2 linked regions of the Bombyx mori genome follow. The protein of the gene in region 1 interacts with the protein of each later gene in a biochemical or structural test. Links are inferred from orthologs where the notes say so. Each region holds a gene or a part of one and is shown in the gene's direction. Other genes may lie near its edges.

Evidence for each region.
Region 2: of the proteins of Per (region 1) and dbt, one has a biochemical effect on the other in vitro, tested with the Drosophila melanogaster proteins (4 studies listed by BioGRID, with this or other methods). The link is inferred for Bombyx mori from reciprocal best matches to the Drosophila melanogaster genes per and dco.

What each region holds. Positions count from the first base shown.
Region 1 is NC_085107.1:12,544,094-12,555,656, reverse strand, and holds part of Per (period), read left to right. Parts: intron 1-4,902; coding exon 4,903-4,997; intron 4,998-5,974; coding exon 5,975-6,052; intron 6,053-7,080; coding exon 7,081-7,212; intron 7,213-7,357; coding exon 7,358-7,433; intron 7,434-9,082; coding exon 9,083-9,286; intron 9,287-10,624; coding exon 10,625-10,853; intron 10,854-11,470; coding exon 11,471-11,563. UniProt on the Drosophila melanogaster protein: Essential for biological clock functions. Determines the period length of circadian and ultradian rhythms; an increase in PER dosage leads to shortened circadian rhythms and a decrease leads to lengthened circadian rhythms.
Region 2 is NC_085123.1:7,354,083-7,365,645, forward strand, and holds dbt (double-time protein), read left to right. Parts: upstream 1-372; 5' UTR 373-641; coding exon 642-717; intron 718-1,245; coding exon 1,246-1,356; intron 1,357-1,694; coding exon 1,695-1,887; intron 1,888-4,059; coding exon 4,060-4,202; intron 4,203-5,251; coding exon 5,252-5,454; intron 5,455-6,763; coding exon 6,764-6,923; intron 6,924-10,246; coding exon 10,247-10,327; intron 10,328-10,565; coding exon 10,566-10,624; 3' UTR 10,625-11,494; downstream 11,495-11,563. UniProt on the Drosophila melanogaster protein: Serine/threonine-protein kinase which is involved in the circadian rhythm pathway, viability and planar cell polarity.

The sequences.
Region 1 (11,563 bases):
CTGCGACCATAACTATTCAAGATCTTTAAATATATTGATTACTGTGAGGTGATTTATTTAAAAAAATATATCTTATTTTAGTTTTAAAAAAAGAATAACTAGCGGCCACTTTCTAATTGGCACTTTGGAAAAACATATCCCCCCCATTTATAATATAATTATTATTAATAGTACACAAAAAAAAAATTACATACTCGATTAATGTAGCAAGCTTTTTCAGTCGGAACTTTTTATAATCTATATATTAATACGTGAAGCAAAAACTTTGTACCCCTTTTTATGAAAATTGTGCGGACGGAGGAGTATGAAATTTTCTACACTTATAGAGAATATAGAGAAGAAGTGCACAATGCTAATTATTTTTTTAAATAATGCATAAAAGATACATTAAATCAATAAAGAAAACATTACACACACTACATACCATGTATTTGACCCACACACGCATGCATACTATTTATTGTCAAACTTTTGTTCTTGACGTCTGTTGTCAAATTGAGAATAGATTAAATATTGTTTGTCTTTGTTAATATTTTTTATAGTGTAGTCTTGCCGAAATTTGTGATTATAGAAGTATAAAATACAATCTTAATAGTGTACAAACTTACAATTCCAGTTAATTATAGTCGAATTTCGACTAGTGCGGGACCACTAGTATAATAAATTATATTATAATGGAGATTCTATAAAATAGAAATTCGTTTTCATTCAAAGACTAACTTAACTAGACTTTAGTAACGTATTGGACAAAAGTATTTTTTTTTTTTGAATTAACTAATTCGATGCTTGAATAGGTTTGTCATCTTTTGTTCCCTAAAATCTATTATTGTTCATAATACAGTTCAAAGTTTAAAGACGGATTCAAACCGCTTTCATTTTGTTAAAAAAAAAACTGATTCGAATCAAAAAACAAAACAGTTTCGATTACATTATTCTAATATAAACCATCGGTCGGTATGTAACAATGGAAAGTGTATTTTGCGTCAACGATAAAAACGTTAAGCAATAAAACGTGAAAAGTTTTCGGGAATACAAAATTGTTTCCGTTTATTTATATTCTTTGTTACAAAATCACAAAGTCAAAACAAAACAAAACAAAAACGTTCTTAACAAAATACGGTCCGAAGCTGCTCAATCAAAATTCAGACTAATTAGAAAGCCGCGGTCTATACGCGTGTCTTGAACTAAACACGAGCTTGCTGAATTGCGTAAAGACGTCGCGTCATTACCGTTTCACTGGAATTTCAACTTGTAGACAGAACGTTACTGAATAAGGAAAATAAATTGGTTCGAAAGTCACTTGAAGCTGACAATGACGCCATCCTACATTTATTAGGGGTTAAAGTATGAAATTGTCGATTTGTAATGAGAAATTCAAAGGGTTTTTTTTTTTTAAATAATTATATTTATTTAATCAAAATATCTACCATTATTATCTATACATTGCTGCCATCTAATAGGAAGGTCATTTATGCCGTGAGTCCGCGCGTGTAGGTACCACCGCCCTGCCTATTTCTGCAGTGAAGCAGTAATGCGTTTCGGTTTGAAGGGTGGGGCAGCCGTTGTAACTACATTGAGATCTTAGAACTTATATCTCAAAGTGGGTGGCGCATTTACGTTGTAGATGTCCTTGGGCTCCAGTAACCACTTAACACCAGGTGGGCTGTGAGCTCGTCCACCCATCTAAGCAATAAAAAAAAAAAAAAAAAACTGGTGATCTAGATTCTACAAACTGTGTGAAAGCATTATGTACTGCCTCCTGTACTTTTTATTACGTAGCAAATTGTCCAAATCACGAAATAAATGGTAGTCCGTTGGAGCAAGGTCTGGCGAATACGCAGGGTGACCAATGGTTTCTAATTGAAGTTCCTGTAGAGTTAAAACGGTTCTCGTGCTATATGAGGTCTCGCGTTATCATGGAGCAATAATGGTGAGGACCGATTAATGTGTCGAGGCTGTTTCACTGCAAGTTTTGCTTTCATTGTTCAGAGTTCGGCACAGTAGACATCTGCCGTTATTGTTCGACCAGATCGGAGAAAGCTATAGTGAATAACACCATGCTGAAACCACCAAACAGTTACCATTACCTTTTTATTTTTGCGGCGTTTGACCTGGGGTCAGTTATTGCATTTTTCGCTTACGTTTATCGTAAAGAATCCACTTTTCATCACATGTCACAATTCGATACAATATTCCTTCATTTCTGTATCGATTCAACAAGGCAACACAAGTTTCAACACGCGTTTCTTTCTGCAGATCAGTCAAATCATGAGGCACCCATTTTTCATATTTTTTGTTATATTTTATTGATTTGACGCAAATGAGTCAATATTGTTGGCAAGGTAACGTTAAACTATGCCACCATTTTCCGCCATCTCTTTCAATACGTTGTTATTCACATGTGTGGGCGGTCTTCCACGTGGCTTGTTCTTCAAATCAAAATTTCCATCATGAAAGCGTATAAACCAAAACCGCACGGTGCGTTCATTAGCAGTCCTCTCCAAACGTAACACTGATATTGCGAGCTGTTTCTGCAGCGTTAGTTCCGCGTCGGAACACGTATTAAAAATCACTCGAATTTTCGAAGTATCCATATTTCTTGTCTAACCTGAATAAAAAAAATACAACTGAAAGTCGTTAATCCAATGTTGCACATTTTTTAAAAGAAGTACCTCATACCAGGTACCATTTGAAAAAAGTTTCACTCAAAAATCTCAAACCATGAAGGTTCTATGTTAATTCGAAGTACCTATTACAATTAAACGGCAATTTCATACTTTAACCTCTATTATTAATTTCTAAACTACATTGACGACTGATTGCTTTTGAATCGTTGATAGCATTGAACATTGGTTAATTGTTTGGTTAGAGATTTGTGTGGTCCGAAATTAAAGGGGGGTGTCAATAAATCGTTAATTGTTTAACTCATAAACTGTAACATATACTAACAGTTAGTTAAGAACTCATCTGCTTTGTCGCAGCTTCTATCTAATTTTCGTGACGTTATAGTTCCGTAACAGATTGTAAGTAGTTGATTTTTCTCTTAGGTTCCGAAACGTCGGCACATTTGTAATTAAACAATTATTATCGTTACAGAGGGTACGGGAAGGTCGAGTATTTGCGACTCAGTGTTTTATTCAATATAATATTAGACATGTTATTTAGGTACATCGCTTATGAAAAGGTAATGTGATCGTGATTGTGTCAGGACTGAATGGTATGTATAATGAGATTTGAACGGTTAGTTCATAATATTAAATATGTATAATATTCTTCAATAATGATTGAATAAAAACATATGGTTCATTCATAACACATATAACTTCTCATAATATGATTTAAAATAAATCAATTTGAAATGAATTGGAATTTCGAAATTTTAAAGCCTATTTGGTTTAAACAACTAAGTAACGTTGTACTTACCTCGACCGACTGTTGATGTGATATTAATGAATAAACTGTTGTTTTTGATAAGCATATGATAGTTTTATCCGTAAGAAGGTTGTTTCAAAATTAATTATAATCGAATATTTCGATAGGACACAATAATTTATAGTTTTCTTAATATTGAAATAAAAACCCTGTAATATTTTAGAACTGCATTCATTTCAATGTCGGCTTTTAAAAGTGATATAAAAACCAATCGAGTATATGACAATGGACGGCTACGAAGTTACGACACGTTTCCCAAGGATTGTGTTTGGAAATGAGATCACTATTGCCTGCACTTCCTACGCAGACAAAATAAGGAGAGTAAGGGAAGGTATCAAATAAGGAGGAGTACTGTTTCCTGGAATAACCTTGCGTCAGGATAAGGTGACTGCACATCTAACCGAAGCTATGGTGCCATACGTGAAGAACATATAACTCGGCCTGTTCTTACCCTACCGTCGGCTTAAGAAGCAACCCAGAGGAAATAAATTTGAAAACAATGGCGAGCTTTCTCTAGAAGCTTTTTCAAAAATCAATTCGTACGCAAGTGAACTGATGGTCTAAGTGAAATTATCGAAATATAAAGTAAATTATAATATCTAAAAAATATGTTTCAAGTCGATTATTATTAATTTTGAATCACCCTGTGTATGAAAGTATGGGATTATGTTTAGTTTTTACGAATTTTCTGACGTCTGAATGATTTGAAAGTTATTGCACTTTATGATCCGACTCGATGTATTTTAGAAGAAGAAAAAGAATATTTCTACAAATAGAGAGCCCCAGAGATTTACCCATATTATTAATTTTAATTCTGAAGGTATTATTGTAAATATTGTCCGGATTAAAAAGCAGCCCATATCACTCTTACTGTTCAGCATATATAAATAATCTATCTCACTTCAACAAGTAGTGTGTGTAGTGTAGTGTGAATTAGTATTGAAAATACTTACCTTGAAAACCAACTCCACGATAGAGATTCTCTGTCTCTGGCTACTAATTCTATTTAAAAATAAATTTCATCTTATTTAAATCGATCATTGTCGGATCTCATATCATAAACGAATACAGATAAGAATATAATAATTTAAATGACCACTAGGTAGTCATTTAACATTGACAATGTCAAATGATCACTAGGTAGTCATTGTCATGTTAAGCTTTTGATCTTGTTCTGTTTTCATATTTCAAAACATCTTAATTGTAATTTTCGTTTTAATTGTAAATTAATGTAATAAATAGGTATTTGAGTTTCATTCAGTAAAATGTGTGTTGTATAAAAATTAACAAAACTAATAAAATTATATCGATAAAAAAAATTAAGAAGTTTAGTACATATCTATAATATTTTTATTGTTAGACGGTATGCCTTAGGGGTGTTGTGTAGACAATGTTGATGTTAGAATAAACGATTGATGGTTACCGCATTGGTTCATGTTTATCTCCCTTTTTTATGTTTCCGCTGTGCAGTTACGAGCGCACCCTCTCCAGCGCATGTACAGGTCGAGAAGGGACCTGAGAATATGGATATAGCTTCAACAGACACTGAAGGCGACAAGGTAGAGGTAAGTTGACGATATAATAATATAATACATCCATCGATGCGAATGTTCTGAATTAGAAAATATTCCGACTACAAAATCAACAATTGCACACATCATCTTCATCTTGTGTCATTTAATTTTGTAAATGACCTTTACGTCACATTATTTATCCTCTCTTCCGCACAATAATTCTCTTTTATTATATAATTTCAGTTTTATGTTAATCTTTTTAATAAAAGAAAATATACTACTTATTTCTATACTGATACTATTCTATACTATTTCTACATTGTTTCGTTAAATTTCAAGAAATGTCATTGATAGAGTGTTTCAGTAAACAGTGGATCTTCGTTCTAATTAAGTTGGCCACCCCTGTTCTAGAATATTAGTTTAAAAGCTCGATGTCAGGTAAATCGATCGTGAATTTGAAATAATTAATTCTCCTTTTTTTAAATTTAAATTGCACGTAAGTCTTTTTCTAACAGTCGTTTTTATGATTATGATTACAACTTTTATTATTAAAGCAGGTTTCGATTTCCTAAGCAAATCTACACAGAACACTTAACGAAATCTTAGTCGTAGTTCGAAGGTGGGGCGGTGGCCTCGGTTACCACTCAACGCTAGGTTAGCCGTGGGTCTGCTAATCTACTGTAATAATAATAAGAATAATAATATAATAGACTTATTTTTTTAAATGTTTTTTTTTTAAATCTTTTTTTCAATGTTGTAAAACCAATAATATTTAAAATAAATATAGTATGTATGTATGAGAATAATAATAATACATAATATATAGGTAGTAATTACATTTTTATATTTCTACTTATAGTTTACATTTATTTACATAGGGTAATTGTACACAGGGATAGTGCCAATTCTCTTCTTTACTAGTCCTCCTCCTCCTTCAGTCGATCGCTCATTGCTCAGCATCGTGATGTGCTAAAAATAATGTAAAATACTTTGAACTACTAAAGCTAGTGACTTATTTTCTTACGCAGGTTTTATCGTGTGACCTGCAACCGCAGAACTCTACTGTCGATGTAGTTACGAGTCGTTCGAATCTAATCTGTTACACTGTAAGCAAACAATTTGTTTTTGTTTTTGTTTTTTCTTCTTCAATTTTTCGTCAAGACTGTGTATTTTTAAGATCTATAATATTATTTAAGGAAAGCGTACCTTTATAATGGTCACAAAGTAATTGCTTTAGCTCTGAACAAACTCTCAATAAATATGTGCTTGCAATGTATAGTGGACAAAAGTAAATGGCTAGTATCGGCTCGTGTAGCACGGGCTTAAGGCGACCTGTACAGTTTCTCGTCGGATCTTCTCAGTGGGTCGCGTTTTTGATCCCGTAGTAGATTCTGCGAAGCACTGCTCTTGATAGGGCCAGTGTCAGCAACACCTCCTTGCTTGAGCCCCGAGAGCTCACCTACACTCTAGGCTAACGCCGATGTAGCTTCTCAAGGCTATCAACATCGGTACAAAAAAAGCGACCTATAGTCATTTTGTGTTACGATATTTTCAAAGAATCGTAAAAACAACGAAGAAGCGTTCAAAACTAAACAAAGTTTTTGTTAATTTCTTATATTTTATTCTAACGTAGTAGTTCAGAAGGTGTATAATTGAGACCTTATATTTCTAAAGTCGATGTCGGCATTCACCTTGTAATGCCTTTGGGCTCCAGTAAACTATAGGGCTTGTACACATAACTGCGAATTCGCAACACACATAACCGCAACACGATTTCGCGCGGCAAGGATTTTCCTTTTCACAATTGACTTTCAATTCCACAATCCTTTAACAACGCAGGGATGCGCGATGCGAATCAGTTCGCAAGTTCTTGCGGTGCGTCGTGGGAGCTTGTAGATTTTTACGATGCGACGTCGCATCAAAGTTTTGTGTACAAGCCCTTACACCAGATGGGCCGATATCGTTCAGTCACACAGACAGTCACAGTGTCTGGAAGTCACTCGGATTCTGTTTAATTTTAATAGTTTATCATTAATAATGACTGCATGACGGCAACTTTTTTAAATTCTCGTATTTAAATTATTGTATTAAAAAGATTCTTGTTTCGATACTAATATACATTAATGAAATACAGGATGGATTTTCATGCGTTATATCGATGCACGATGGAATCGTAATGTACACGACATCATCGCTGACGGCTATACTCGGTTTCCCGAAGGACATGTGGATCGGGAGGTCATTTATCGATTTCGTTCATCCAAGGGTGAGTTTAAAATTTTATTAAATTTTTTCGAATAAATGCTACGTATCCTTTGTCGAAGAGTTTTAGACATATTTTTTTTAATTTTAATTTAATTCGCTTTTACACTGGCGACAAAAGGAATATAATAACGAAACGATATTTACAGGACCGTAGCACGTTCGCGTCACAGATAACCAGTGGTTTGGCCGTCCCGAAAACTGCAAACGGTACGCAAGAAAAAGGTAAAATCCTTATTAACGTTTATATCGGTGGTGCCGATGTTTGAGTTATGCGATTGCATGCTCCCTCCCGATCGCCGAGTTCGGATCGCTGTGCCAACGTAACATAGAGCTTCTCCATGTTCAATAACGAATGGATGTGTCTTTACATTCGAACACGATTCGATTCTTTATGGATCAACACTATGAATTATTTAAATTTCGAATTATTATGACACACTGTTTTTTTTTTTAACTGTATCTGTGTGTTACCGTGCTTAGTGTATGTAATCGTAAGTATTTTTGCGGTTTATTTAAAAATTAAACATGTTCTAACGATATCTATTTGTTGCCCTCAAAGTTTCTTATTTATTAATATATTTTAATATAGTTGGAAAAATACATTCTTACATTTCTCACTCTTGATTTCATTTCTACGGTTTCGATTGATCGACCTGTATTATGTACTTTTAGTATGGGGTGTTGTATTTTGCGGTAAGACCGTTTTTAGTTAAAAGTAAGAAAACTATGATCGATTAATTAATTGGCACCTGGATTAAAGTGGTGAAGGTGAAGAAACGAGCTAGTACTAAAAAAAAAAAAAGTACTTTTAGTAATTTTTATTTTATTAAATCATAGATATACTAAAAACTGCGGTGACCGACAGCATCGTTATAGTATATAAATATAAAGTTTTTTTGATAATTATCTTACTACATTACTTGTTGAGTTTGTTGCCATTGTCAATCAATTGAAAAAAAAATAGGATTGCGTTTTTAGAGGACGGAATTTTAGTTTTTTTGATGTGTAGAGGGTTTAGTATAAGCTTAAGTTCCAGTTTCTGGGGTCGCCACTCTTGCCATCCCGCCAAGACTTGGAAAAACGAGTGCAAAGGGTTTTTGCGCTGTATTTCGTAAACTAACAAACCCATAGAAAATTTAAAACAATTAGTTTCTGTAGGGTTGCTTGTTGATCTAGGGTTGCCACAAACTTCAACTTAAGCTTACACTAAACCTCCCTACACATAAAAAAATTAAATTGCGTCCTCTAAAAACGCACGCTAAAGCCCAAACAATTTAACATTTCAATGGACCAAGTATATTTTTTAATTATCTTTGTATTTGCCTGCGAAATTAACAAACAAAATTGATACGAGCTTGACTATTATGAGTTGGATCGAGACTCGCGCCTGAAAGTATTTTTCTTCTGAAGTTTAATTTAACTGTGAATTATTTTATGTTGTTTTTAAATTTTAGCTTAATAAGAATTAATCATTTCATTATTAGCTTTTTATGTTAGATTTAAATACATGTTACTTTTCAATCATTGTTATTAGATAGAAAGTATGATAGTTTTATTTGTATAGGACTATAAGGATTAGTTTAAGCGAATTATTACACGGGCTGGGGCTAAATATTAATTATAATCACAAACACAAAAAGGGTGAAGGACAAATGTTCACGATTGACTTCCACGGTGAAGGAATAACATCGTGTATAAAAATCAAACCCGCAAAATTATAATTTGCGTAATTACTGGTGGTAGGACCTGTTGTGAGTCCGCCCGGGTAGGTAGGTACCAACACCCTGCCTATTTCTGCCGTGAAGCTGTAATGCGTTTCGATAAATGTTTTAAAAAGTTTTCTTTAATATGAATTATTTCTTTCCGCGCAGCTCAATCGCCGGGTAATTCTGGATCGACTATGGTGTGTCGGATAAGACGTTACAGAGGTCTGAGCACGGGGTTCGGAGTTAAGGAAAGAGTGGTCACGTTCATGCCGTTCCTTTTGAAATTCACGTTCAAGAACATAAGCGATGAAGAGGGAAATGTCATCTACCTCGTCATACAGGCCACACCATTTTTTTCAGCGTTCAAAAGTTAGTGATAACCTTTTTTTTCTTTTTTCTTTTTGTTTGTATTATAAGAAAATTGAGTGCGTTCAAAAAGCGAGCAAATAGCGATTTGTACTAATAAAAATAAAAAAAAAACTTTAAGTAATGTCTGACTGTAACCTTGATAGTGTAACACGGATGGCAGCGGCTTGGCTCTGCCCCTGGCATTGCTGAAGTCCATGGGCGAAGGTAACTACTCACAGTCAGGTGGGCCGCATGCTCGTCTGCCTACAAGGGCAATAAAAGTAAAAACGATTTAAGGATTCACGGGAGCATCGGCAGCTGTGTTTTCTGAGTATTTTACCAGCGCACTGTGATCGTCAACCGGCGTTTACTGGTCGCAGGTTCAGTGATATAACAAATGAATTTAGATCTTCTAGCGTCAATAGTTAGGGTTGAAATTCGATCGGTGGGCATATAATAAATAAGTACTGCGCGCATTTAATTAATTCCCATACAAATATTTTCGTTATTATTAAACGAATATTATTTTTTTAATATTCATTTTTACAATAGTCAATTCACGACTTTGTTCCGCTTAAGTTAAAGTTGATTATCCAATACTAAAAAAATATCTGAAATCATTTCAAATCAAATCATTCAAATCAAATCATCAAATCATTCAAATTGAACCATATTCTTTCTAATGTCAAGGCATAAAAATAAAAGAAACGATCAAATTCAATTTTATATTTTCGCGTTAACGAATTTAAAGTTCGTTTTCGCTTGGCATGTAGAACCCGTACGGTCTAGTCGCGAAGCGGTCATTTATTCCGATCTGTAATAAATAGTGGGACGGCCATTATACATGGTTAGAACTACGATCTCATGCCTAAAGGCATGTGACGTCATTAACGCTCTGACGTCGGCGAGCTCCGGTAATCGCCTAACAGCAGGCTGGCCGTGAGCTCCTTCACCCTTAAGGGCAATAAAAAAAAAACTCAAGAGACAATTAGTATCTATTCAGGTAATGCTCGAATCAAGCCGATTTATTTGGACAGATGTCATTATCAGATTTTTGACCTTATAAGTATCAATCAGCCTGTGTCGTTTTTTTAAATTATTATCCGTTAATTCTTAGGGTTGCCAATCGAACAGAAAACGATCTCGCTCTGTTGATACCGTGTCCATTAGAGTTCTTGCCTCTTAATTGGACTTGTTTTATCGATACCGTGCTGTGTTGCGTAACATCACTATCGCATCGCGCAATACTTATTACGTCGTTCAGTGGACGACAATAGTCTAAGGACGCATTCAGTGTTCCATTTAAAATAGTTTCGTATTAGTGTTCATAATCATGTTAGTATTATTTTATTCTTCTAGCGTCGTTTGAAATATTACCGAAAGTTAATCCTTTCGTGATGCGTCACTCCGCGAATGGTAATCTCGAGTACTTAGACCCAGAATCTGTACCTTATCTCGGATATTTACCTCAAGATGTCCAAGACAAGGACGCATTGCAACTCTATCATCCGGAAGATTTGGAATACCTCCAGCAAGTATACGAGGTAATCGTTAAGGATGGTGGCATGCCGCGTTCCAAAACTTACAGGTAAATAAAAGAAACACAACACCGGTGTTATTAATAATTAAAGTATAAGTTCTAAATGTGATCAATGGTTAATGTAATTAGTCAGTGGTCGGTTAATTAGGTAGTATTATTTGATCAATGGGCATTGGCTTTCTTTTTTTATTTCTTTCATTTTAATAAAACCGTTTCGAAGAACGAATAGGCTTTTTTTATATTAAATTTTGTCATTTATTTTAGTTAAATATGACCTTTATTTGAAATGTCGTCGTGATTGGTTTTAAGAAACCCTATATATTATTTACTCTGTTGACGATTCAAATGACAGTCATATTATAAAACTATTGAAAACCTCCTAATAATTTTACTAATTTCAACCTACAACATGAAGGTAGTGATGATTCAAACACTGTTAACCCTTTGAGTGCGACTCGTCGTTATTTAGATTCTCTGTTAATCCGTTCAAAGTACGGAGCGTCGGAATAGCGACCATTTGCGCAGTATGATTATTGGTATTAGGTATTACGTTTTTAATAAACTAATAACATTTATAAATATCCATTTAAATTTATTTTAACAATAAATAAATAAAACATTGTGTCGAATACGTAAACAAATTCACTTCGGAAATATAATTTCAGAATGATGACACAAAACGGTGATTACATAAAAATCGAAACCGAATGGTCTTCGTTTATTAATCCTTGGTCGAAGAAGCTGGAATTCGTCATCGG
Region 2 (11,563 bases), on another chromosome or scaffold:
TTACTTCATTTGGTTCATTCAAAATTTTTTTACTCTTTTACTAAACGTTCTTTTACTTCATTAAACTTAAATGATCCTGTGTTTTACCAAATAAAGAGAAAAATATGCATAGATGTTAATGATTGAATATGTGTTGTGTTTATGTGAAGTTGTGTTTTTTTATCGACTAAATAAATTAGTCAAATTGAAAAAAAATTGTTAGGCATTTGAATATCATTTATAAAAGGCTTAATTTAATTCTGAATCTGTGTAGGTTGGTGTTGCCATAGAAACCCTGAATGGAAATTGGAATCTTCAATCAGTAATACATATCTGTTTAATCTGTGGATCCCATTCCAGCAGCAGCTCTATGTTCTATCTAAGTTTTGTTCAATTTACAAAAATTTGGTTCCTCGTCCATGTGTTTCTGCCTGTAGATAAGTCCAATTTGCAACTTATTTTAGTTAAAAATATAGATTTTTTTACAGAAAATTTACTAAGATAATCTCTACAACAGCTCAGATACAAACAAAATTACATCAGAATTCATGTTCAATTTAATTTTACTAGTTAACTTGTGCGTCTATCGCAATATGGCCGTCCTGTAATGAATTGGTGGTCAGTAATATTATTTGTGGTTCTATCTCTCTGCTAATATTAAAATGGAGCTTCGTGTCGGTAACAAATACCGACTTGGGCGAAAAATTGGCTCCGGATCTTTTGGAGATATATATTTAGGTAAGTAATTGGAGGGTTAATTGTAAACAAAGAAAATCGTAAATTGCTGCTCGGGCCAGCTGCGCCTAATCTTCGTTTCTACATAAGTTAAATAATGTTGAACATGAATAATTTGAACTATGGACTTCTTAATTTTTTTTCCATTGAAAGTCTGAATACAGAACTAAATATTTATGGACATTGATTGCATGTGATTACTGACTTCATAACGTAGATGTCTCTCTGAAGACTTAATTAACAGTAGTCGCCACGAACGGTTTCCAAGATGTTGGTTAGACGCTTGTTTTCGTATTACTTTTGAGTAACAGTATATATTAAAATTACCTGGTTGTAATTCGATAATTATGCTTCTGTTATATACTGTCTTATTAATGAATGGTATGTATGTATCATTTGTGTTATGAAATGGTACATTGTGCCCTTTTAACATGTCCCAATATTAACATTAAGCAGTAAATAATTATTGATTCTATTTTATGGGTGTTGTTATTTATATTATCAATCAATGTGAATAAAAATGGTTTTTAGGAACAAACATTGTCACAAGGGAAGAAGTAGCCATTAAGTTAGAATGTATCAAAACGAGACATCCACAGTTACACATAGAAAGCAAATTTTACAAACTAATGCAAGGAAGAGGTAAGAAATTTTCTTGATATGGTTGAGCTGATAAAGTAATTTTCAAATCACAAAAGTGTTTCTTTTAAAGACCTATGCAATAAACTATAGATCGAATAGCTCAGTTATTAGTTTTATATCTGTCAAGTTTCCAACTTATGCCATATAACCATAATTCCAAAACCCTGCTTAAAACTGGATCATTCATTTAAATGAATATGTATAAAGTTTTTGGATAGATAATTTGCACAGAGCTTTGCTCGTCATTAAAAGTAGTAGAAGTAGTGTTATTTTTGGTATTAACTTAAAAAAAGATAAAACTTGTTAATTTTGTTTTAAATTTTTATTAATACTTTCAGTTGGAATTCCTGCAATTAAATGGTGTGGGTCAGAGGGTGACTACAATGTAATGGTAATGGAACTGCTAGGTCCGTCATTGGAAGATCTCTTCAATTTTTGCTCACGTCGTTTTTCTCTCAAGACAGTACTCCTTCTAGCAGACCAACTAATTTCCCGCATTGAGGACATACACTACAGAAATTTTATCCATAGGTGAGTTTTAGTTTCTTAAACAGAGAAAAATATTAATTTAATCAAAATTATTATCATTATTTTACAAAAATACAGCTTGGTGATAATTTGGCATTAACTTTCAAATTAGATTGTGTTCATTTCATAGGCCATATTTGAATCTCAAAAATAAAACTAGTAAAACATAAAGTTATCCTTTTAGTGTGTGCAGAAAGCATCTCTTATTGTATACAGAAAATATGCATTATTTATTAAATTATTTAAAATTATTTCTTAAAGAAATAAGCAATGTTATTGTATCAAATTTAAAATACAAATTTAAAGAAAGTAAAACCTAAATTTAAAATAACATTTTTTAATAGAAGTTCCTAAATTGTGCCCATTTTGTTTGTGGGTGAGTGATCTTACAACTCTTAGTAAGTCAACCTGCTGCTTTTGGTGATTGTGTAATTTTGGTAACCTGAAGTGTGAAGACTCGTGTACTCCATGTGAACTCTGAGTCTCCATACAGGCCTTACACAGTGAAATTTCTGTAATGTCTATTTTGAACAATTTTTTATGTAAGGCTTGTGTCCAGTGATTGCACCAGCTACATCTCAATATTGCTCTCTTATATAAGGGGAATAGAGTGGGCTATGGCCCTTTTCCGTTACTCAAAAGCCCTGTGAGTCATCATCAGCCACATCATTATCTCGATTCACTAGGTCCTTTAATCCACTAAAAAGTAATATTTTTTAAGTTATGTACCTAACATAGTGGCTGATGTTGTTTGATAAGTGACATACATGGCTGATGTAATCCATTGCCTCTAGGACTGCTAGTGTATTCTTATTTTGTAACATTTTATTTGTTTAGCATCTAGGATTCTCATGCATTACTTTGCACACTGTTGTAGCCATCTAGTGGCTCATATAGTTTTCATAACCATATAGATAAACATATAGCTTTCAGAAAAATGCTCATCTTGTGCTTTGCTTGGTTTTTGAGCCATACATAAAACTAGGTGGGTAGCCGAATCTTGCTGTGATTAATCACATTTAGTAAGATGGGATTCTATAAATCAAAATTAAATTACTTCTAGTAACTGCAGCTACTATTGGTATTTTGCTGTTTATCCTATCCACAATTTTAGTAGGAGCAGTAGTTATTTTAGCGCAGATTGCATTGATGAAATATTTAAATATCTCCTAGTGCAGCAATGGAAATTGTTTTGAATACATAATGTTATGTTCATATATGCAAATATGCCTGAATTTGGTTTTATTAATTTTAAATATGGCCACCATAGCCATTCATCACATATTATTAAGGGCAATTGCCTACCAAGGACAAAAATCAACATTTTAGGCAATTTTTCTTCGTTTCCAAACAGTGACATAAATAATTCTATTACAATCGATTACTACAGTCAAAAAGTCTTGAAATTAAATACCTAGCTCCTCAAATAGTAAGATAAGAATTGGGAACATTTCTGAACCCTAAATAAAATATATTTGCCAGGCTATGTATAAATATACTCTTCCTTGTAGGAAGTTTATCCTTTGTGAATTTACAAGTGCATGTTGGGTGATGATGAACTAGAGTTTCTAAAAAAATCCATTATTTTGTGAAACAATAAAATAGTGCTATGATATGTTTAGAAAATAGCCCATAAAATCTCTTAGTCCAATCATACAAGTTCTTTCTCAAAGTCAACAATACAATGAGTTTTAATTCTAAGGTAATAGAAATTAATAAATCAAGGGTTAAAATAGTCTATAAACATGTCAAAGTTAGATTACAACTGATTTGATTGTAGTTTCTATGACAAATTTTGTATTTGCATATGATAAACACTGAAATCATTCATTCTGTTTGCTTTGTCATTAGAATTATGAGATAGTGTTGTACTTTGGGTCAATTTGCAGAGTTAAAATAAAAAGGAGTACCAGTTTACATTTATAATTTTTTGTTATCTTAATTTCTCTTTAAGTTTTTTTTTTTTAATTTATAAAGATTATTGAAAAAGTCAAAACAATTACAAAACATTTAGAAGTCAAATGATTTAAAAGTAATTATAGAGACCTACAATATAAATCAAGAAAGAGATTGCTCTTGAACTCTGTTATTCTCTGTGTAATCTAGTATAGATTACATAATATAAGGTACTGTGTGTTTTACAGGTAATGTGTACAAATAAAATTCTATTTACAGAGACATCAAACCTGACAATTTTCTAATGGGCCTAGGTAAAAAAGGAAATTTAGTGTATATAATAGATTTTGGCTTAGCTAAGAAGTACAAAGATCCTCGGACTAATCAACATATACCTTACAGAGAAAACAAAAATTTGACAGGTATGCATTTTTAATTTATTGTTGTGTGATTCAATAATTATTTTGATCACTTATTGTGTTATACTATAATTCATGCTGTCATTTATTATGTGATAAATAACCCTTTAAGGAAAAATTTTAGTTACAGTCTTCCTTTAACACAGTTATTTTAACATAATCCTCAACAAAATTTTAAATAAAATTGTTTTCTATTGCAGTTTCTATGATATTTTTACCGATAGGTGCACAACCTTTTATCTCATCATTCAAAACAAATCATCAATAGTTAGATATAGTTATGGAATAAATAATAACATTATTATTGTTATTGGTTGGAAATTGGCAATATCAAAGAACATACAGCATACATACAGCATTAGGGATCCTAAAAACTTATATGACCTCTATATTTAACTAACAAACTGATTGTAATTTAATTCATATAATTGTGCAGTGCATGTTTTTATCACTGTATAATAAAGTTATAGATCCTACTTATAAAAAGGAATTGCTACAAAACATGTCATCTAAATTGCATAAAATATAAATAGAATTCTGTTCCTTACAGTACCATTATCTGATATGAGCTATTGATTTATAGTATTGATAATATTATTCAATACAGTAAACAAGTATGTAATTCAAATGTGAGTAAAATTACACTGAATATAAATTATATAAATGCTGAATGAAGTCAAGTAATTATTGGAATTGATTGATGTGAATGCCTCCTTCTTGAGACATGAGTCCATCTTTACTGTAGAATATGCCACTATATACTAATTAGTTTTTTTTTTATTGCCCTTGTAGGCAGAAAAGCATACCTGATGGTGAGTGGTTACCGTCGCCCACCAGGGGCAGGCAGAGCCAAGCCGCTGCCTATCAAAACACATAATTGTTACGAATATAATTTTGAAGCTATCCTTTCATATTATTTTATGTATAACTAGCATTGATGTATATTCAATACTCTATCTCATGTCCTTTTTATTGAATGTACTAATGTCTATATTTCCAGAAGCAAATATATATATTATTTAATTTTTTTTTCCTTAAATGAATTATTTCAGGAACAGCAAGATATGCTTCAATAAATACACATTTAGGAATTGAGCAGTCACGTCGAGATGATCTAGAGTCACTGGGCTATGTGCTCATGTACTTTAACCGTGGTAGTTTACCATGGCAGGGGCTAAAAGCAGCAACAAAACGTCAAAAATATGAAAGAATATCTGAAAAGAAACTGTCCACTCCTTTTGATGAGCTTTGTAAGGTAAGAATGTATACTTTATCATCATGTCGTGTATCATATATTCATATCATGTATTATATTCATGAAAGCTGAAATTGAAATGCTTATAAGGTTTCACTCTGTGGTTAATTTTTTTTTTATCGCTTAGGTGGGTGGACGAGCTCACAGCCCACCTGGTGTTAAGTGGTTACTGGAGCCCATAGACATCTACAACGTAAATGCGCCACCCACCTTGAGATATAAGTTCTAAGGTCTCAAGTATAGTTACAACGGCTGCTCCACCCTTCAAACCGAAACGCATTACTGCTTCACGGCATAAAATAGGCAGGGTGGTGATACCTACCCGCGCGGACTCACAAGAGGTCCTACCATCAATAATTACGCAAATTATAATTTTGCGGGTTTGATTTTTATTACACGATGTTATTCCTTCACTGTGGAAGTCAATCGTGAACATTTGTTGAGTACGTATTTCATTAGAAAAATTGGTACCCACCTGAGATTCGAACACCGGTGCATCGCTCAACACGAATGCATCGAACGTCTTATCATTTAGGCCGCGACGACTTTTAATTACGATGACGTATTAACGACGGCTAATGAATATAACTTGCTATATTATTCTTAATCCTATTTTTTTTATTGAGAAACGAAACTGTAAAATATTGTTTATGGTACATAAGTACAAGGAATGGTTCCCAGAGTACAAAAGGGAATAATATTTATAATAAAGAATTATTTGCATCATTCACTGAGTTAGTTCTAATTTTGACATATACTGTTAAAATAACACCCTTTCTTTTACTTTTATGTACCATAATTAAAAACGGATGGGGCAACTGTTTTCCTAATAGTATACTGTTTACTTTAATTCACTTTTACAATTTTACCTTATGTCCTGCGAAAACAATTGTTAAGCTACGAAACTAAAGCCATAATTAAGACTGGTCTTAATTTTTCAATGATGTTGTACAATAAACGCTAGCCAAAATTATAAATAGAGGTCATTTACAGTCAAAATTGTTACAGTAGGTAAAACTGCATGAGTAGATTCCAGCATACCCAATTTGCCATAAAACAGACACATTTCAGTTTGAAGGGTGGGATAGCTGTTATACAATACAATTGAAAATTTAATCCCAAGTCAGGGTGTGTGGCAGTTTTAATGGCTCTGGTAACAGAAGGGACTTAGAATTCGTTCATCAATAAAGTCTAATAAAAAAATGTAATTATTTTAATGTACTTTAATATACTTAATATACTATTGTGATGTGAGGTGAAGAATTGTGCATTGATTTGTGAGTCTCATTTTTTATTTTTTTATTTAAAGAACCATCCAATTGAGTTTCAACTGTATTTGAAGTACTGCCGGCGACTTCGTTTCGAGGAGAGACCCGACTACGCCCATCTGCGTCAGTTGTTTCGCACCCTCTTCCACCGGCAAGGATTTACATATGACTACGTGTTTGATTGGAACATGTTAAAGTTTGGTATGTACTTTTATACTTTCGCTGTGTTATGACGGCTTTTCAATAGACCACCCCATCTCGATCCTCACGTGGCATAAATGACGACTAAGGGTTAATTTGGAAACATTCTCCAATTCAACCTCCAGCAGCGTTCTCTGAGAATTCATCACCGTACTGCGATCGCCAAACGATATTAAATGGTAGTAGTGCGTATTATAAGTCCATAAGAGTAGATACCACAGTCCTGCACATTTCCGTCGCGGCGCATTCGTGCATTATGGCTTGAAGGCTTGGACAGCCTTTATACAATAAAATTACGTCTGACTTGGATCAAGGTTCACTTACACCAGGTAGGTTCTGAGCTCGCATACCTTGCTAAGCAATAAAGAAATAATTAAAAAGTATACCAAGATTACAAAATGTCAGATAAAAAATTTAAGCTGCATTTACACAGGTGGCTTAGCTAAAAATATAATAATATTGTAAGGAAAACTTTATTAAAAATGTTAGCATATTGTTATGACCGCCTGACGGTGGATACAAATATAAACTCAACTACAAAGTTATAACTGTTTATTACAAGATATATAAAAAAAATATTAATTAATTTATCTCAAAAAAAGTTATTAATTGAATTAAAAGAAATACTCTAGTGATGACTACTTGCGGGGAGTGGATTCGCGGCACAGGGAAGATTTTTGGTCTTCAAAAAAGATCTATGTGCACTGGGAACTTATCTTTGGACCGTTAGATCCCGTGACACGTGGGGGTCTTCGCTGAGGAAGTTTCCACTGCCTAATGGGGAACTCGGAGGTGTTGCCTGAACGTCTACAATCCGTACTTGGACGTTCAGCCCGTATTTCGCAATCTTTACGGTGGACCCTCAATTTACAAGGGGGTTGAAGAATCCGTTTTTAATTTTCGTGTTTATTTTAGTGTAGCACTGATTGTACTACTTTTTAAAATGAGATCAAATAATCGCCAATACGGATCACTTATAATTGTCGTGCGAACTCTCTGGCGTCGAAATCCCTTCCTCCTGCGCGAATTCGTTTTTATATTATGTTTGTATCGGAACGGCCTACTTCCTTCCCTGTGGCGACAATGCGCACTGAGCGGACTTCTAGATCTTTCGTATAAGACGAGATAGAAATATGGAAAGAACGGCTCAACCGAAGCAAGTCACGCCCTAAATTATTGTCTATATTCCAGAAAACTCCTGTGGTACTTAGATAGCAATAGTCGAGTCGAGCGAAATGGAATCATTCACAAGCAACGGGTCAACCCTTGTTCGCTTTTTTTTTTTCGATATTTCTAGGCACTTACGTTGTGGGCGTTTGTTATCCGATGTTCTAGAAGGAATTTGATTTCCGGTACCAACGAATTCCTTATATGGCCACTAGTTAAAGGGCGCGGTTTTCATTCATTGTAGAAACTACACTCGCGAGCAAAAGTTTGGAATCACTTACTTGAAATTGATTCCGCGCGATCTTGTGTACTAAATATTTTTTTGATAATCATAAAAATGAGATCATTTTAAAGGTTGAACTCTTAACTTTAAACTGATACCAAATTCATTCAAATCGAGCCAGTAGTTAAGGAGCTATTCCGGATTAAGTGAAGGAGGTAGGAAACAAAGGAAATATGGAAAAATAATGAATGCATAAAACAACAAAAATTAATAAATAAAAATTTTATTTAGCCTTAAAATTAAATGTCAGTACTTTGTGTTCCCTTCCCTTGCCCTAATAACTCCTCGAAGACGATTCTTCATAGACCTGATCAGCTTTTGAATTGATTCTTGTGGGATACCTTCCCACTTCTCAATCAACGCCGATTTCAGCTCATTCAGGCATGAAGGAGCAGAAGTTCTGGAACGAACCCTATTCTTCAGTTCATCCCACACGTGCTGAATAGGATTCAAGTCAGGGCTGAGCGCAGGCCAGTCCAATGTGGCGATATAGACTTCTTCGAAGTATTCAGTTGTTCCACGGGCAGTGTGACAACGAGCGTTATCGTGCTTAAGGAGGAAGCTATCACCGGCATATCCCGCATAGGGAACGACATGTTCCAGCAGAATATTGGAAATGTACCGGTCCGAAGTTGACCGCCTCCTCGTCCCCCGCCAGGCACGAAAACAAGCTCGGTTTTACCGTCGAAGGAAATGCCGGCCCACATCATACAAGAGCCGACCCCATAAGCCACTGTTTCAGCGAAACAGCACTGCGCAAATCGCTTCCCAGGCCGCCTGTAGACCCAACCTCTTCGGTCGCTACCATGCAAACACATCCTGCTCTCGTCGGAGAACAGGATTTGCCTCCATTGCTCAACCTCTCAATTAAGATTGGTACGAGCAAATTGAAGGCGTGCTTGTCGATGAGCTACCGTGAGTTTCGGGCCTGTGACAGGCCTTTTTGGAGTCAGATTCGCTTGCTTGAGTCGTCGACGAACTGTCTACTTGCTAGCTGCTACCCTACGAACATCTCGGAGCTCCTGTTGGACGTCGACACCAGGTTAATGCCGATTTCGGAGAGAGGTTAACACGATAAAACGGTCATTCCTCTCCGATGTGCCCCGGCGCCGTCCAGATCTTGGTCTCGGGATAAAGCTACCAGTCTCTTGAAAGCGCTTGCAAACTTTTGAAACACAGGAATGGCTTATTTGGAGCCGACGAGCGACAATCCGCTGGCTGAGCTCTTCTTGCAATAGGGCTACGATTTGTGCTACTTCTGTAGGTGTTGTCCCAATTGTCGTACAAGGTAAAGGGTCAAAAGTAGCCGAGATATGTACCAGTCAACGTGTGAAAGTCGACTGATAAAGAAAATCCGATAACAGGTGCTTTTATAGGGGTCAGTAGGCCGCAACTCGCGACGTATCAAGCAATTGAAACACGTCTTTTTCGTTATTCCTTCACTTAATCCAAGATAACTTCTTAAATACTGGCTTGATTTTAATGAATTTGGTATCAGTTTAAAGTTAGGAATTCAACCTTTAAAATGATCTCATTTTTATGATTATCAAAAAAATATTTAGTACACAAGATCGCGCGGAATCAATTTCAAGTAAGTGATTCCAAACTTTTGCTCGCGAGTGTAGTTATTTTGTTTGTTTGCGCGTAATGATTTTTTTAATTAATTTTATATTTTTAGAATTTTGTTACGACGTTACAATATTCTAAAACGAGTCTTTTACAATACCAGTTTTTCTTACATTATAGAAGTAGTTAATTACATGTAGTTAGTAGTTATAAATGTTAAAATTGTTTGAAATGATATCCAGTATTATAGCAAATACAGACTCTAAGGTATAACGTATAACTTTCTAACTATATAACTATTCTATAGGAGGACTGCGTGATAACCATCAAACAAGTGGTATTGATCGCGCTCTTAGACGTCTTGAACAAAATCAGGAACAAGAAAATAGTAAGTATTAATATTTCTTGAAATCAGATCTTGTATATATAATTCTTAAAATGTATATATTGGTTTTTGTTCTCATTGATCATTTAGTTGTTTTTCCCACAAAATTTAGAAAAAAATGTAGTATCTTTAGCTTAGGTTTTCAAGATTATTATTCTTGTGTGTTCCGCGTCATTGGAAATATTTTATCATCCTTAGGAATACGTCCAGCCCTTATTTCTATAATAATTTTCTTTTTTAGCCGCTGCGACAGCCGGCCAGCCCAGTAATGCAGTGGCAGCAATTTCGGAATGGCGGTGAGGAGAGATACCGCTGACTTCACGCTGATAACATCTCTCTAAAAGCACGTTGGTATTTGTGACCAGTATGTTCTGTGTCGCAGAATGTACCTTACACAGACATAATTGTGACAATGAAAGTATAAGGACGCCTCTGCAGATGATCAGTACGGCAGGACTTGAGGCGTGAGCGTGAACTTCGACTACACATTCGCGATTTTGAAAGCGAATCTTTATATTAATTAATAAATAAATAAAAAGATAAAATGATTTTGTAAGCATACAGGTTAACATTCATATTAATGTAAATTATTTAAATTTTAGGCTAAGCAGGTTGATAAGTGGGCCGATGAACTCGTAACTTTTCTCGCAATTTTTAAATATGTAACGTTAAGTTATGTAATAAATAACGTTTAAGGCCTACCCATACATCCATTGTACTTTGTGCTCAGTTATATTTAGATATAAGAGAATTCAATAGTAACATTTGAGGCGTTCGTTCAGAAAAAGAACTAACTGCCCGGTGTCAAATTTTGATGTTCAGTTTAAATAGAATAATCTATAAATATTCTTTACAAAAGGAATTATTTGTCTTATATCTAAATACAACACTCGTATATATTTGGTAAAACTGACTGATTGAAAACAATTACTAAAAACGCAGGAAGCATACTGTAGAAACGAGTTTATCAGACTTTTCGATTCCTACTGCGTTAATTTTGCAACTTTAAGTAAGTTACTACAAATTGAAAGTAGGAACGGTAGAAAAATAATTGCTCTAAACCAAATTTGTCTGCACATTGTGTAAAATCATTGCTCGAAAAGGTATAAAACTGTAAATAAACAAGTACATTCTCTGAGTGCAATATAGTGATGTTTTCTTTAACTATTCAACATGTAGTTTCATTTGATTTTGTCTTCCAATTATAAATATTATTTACAACTTACAATAACTCAAATT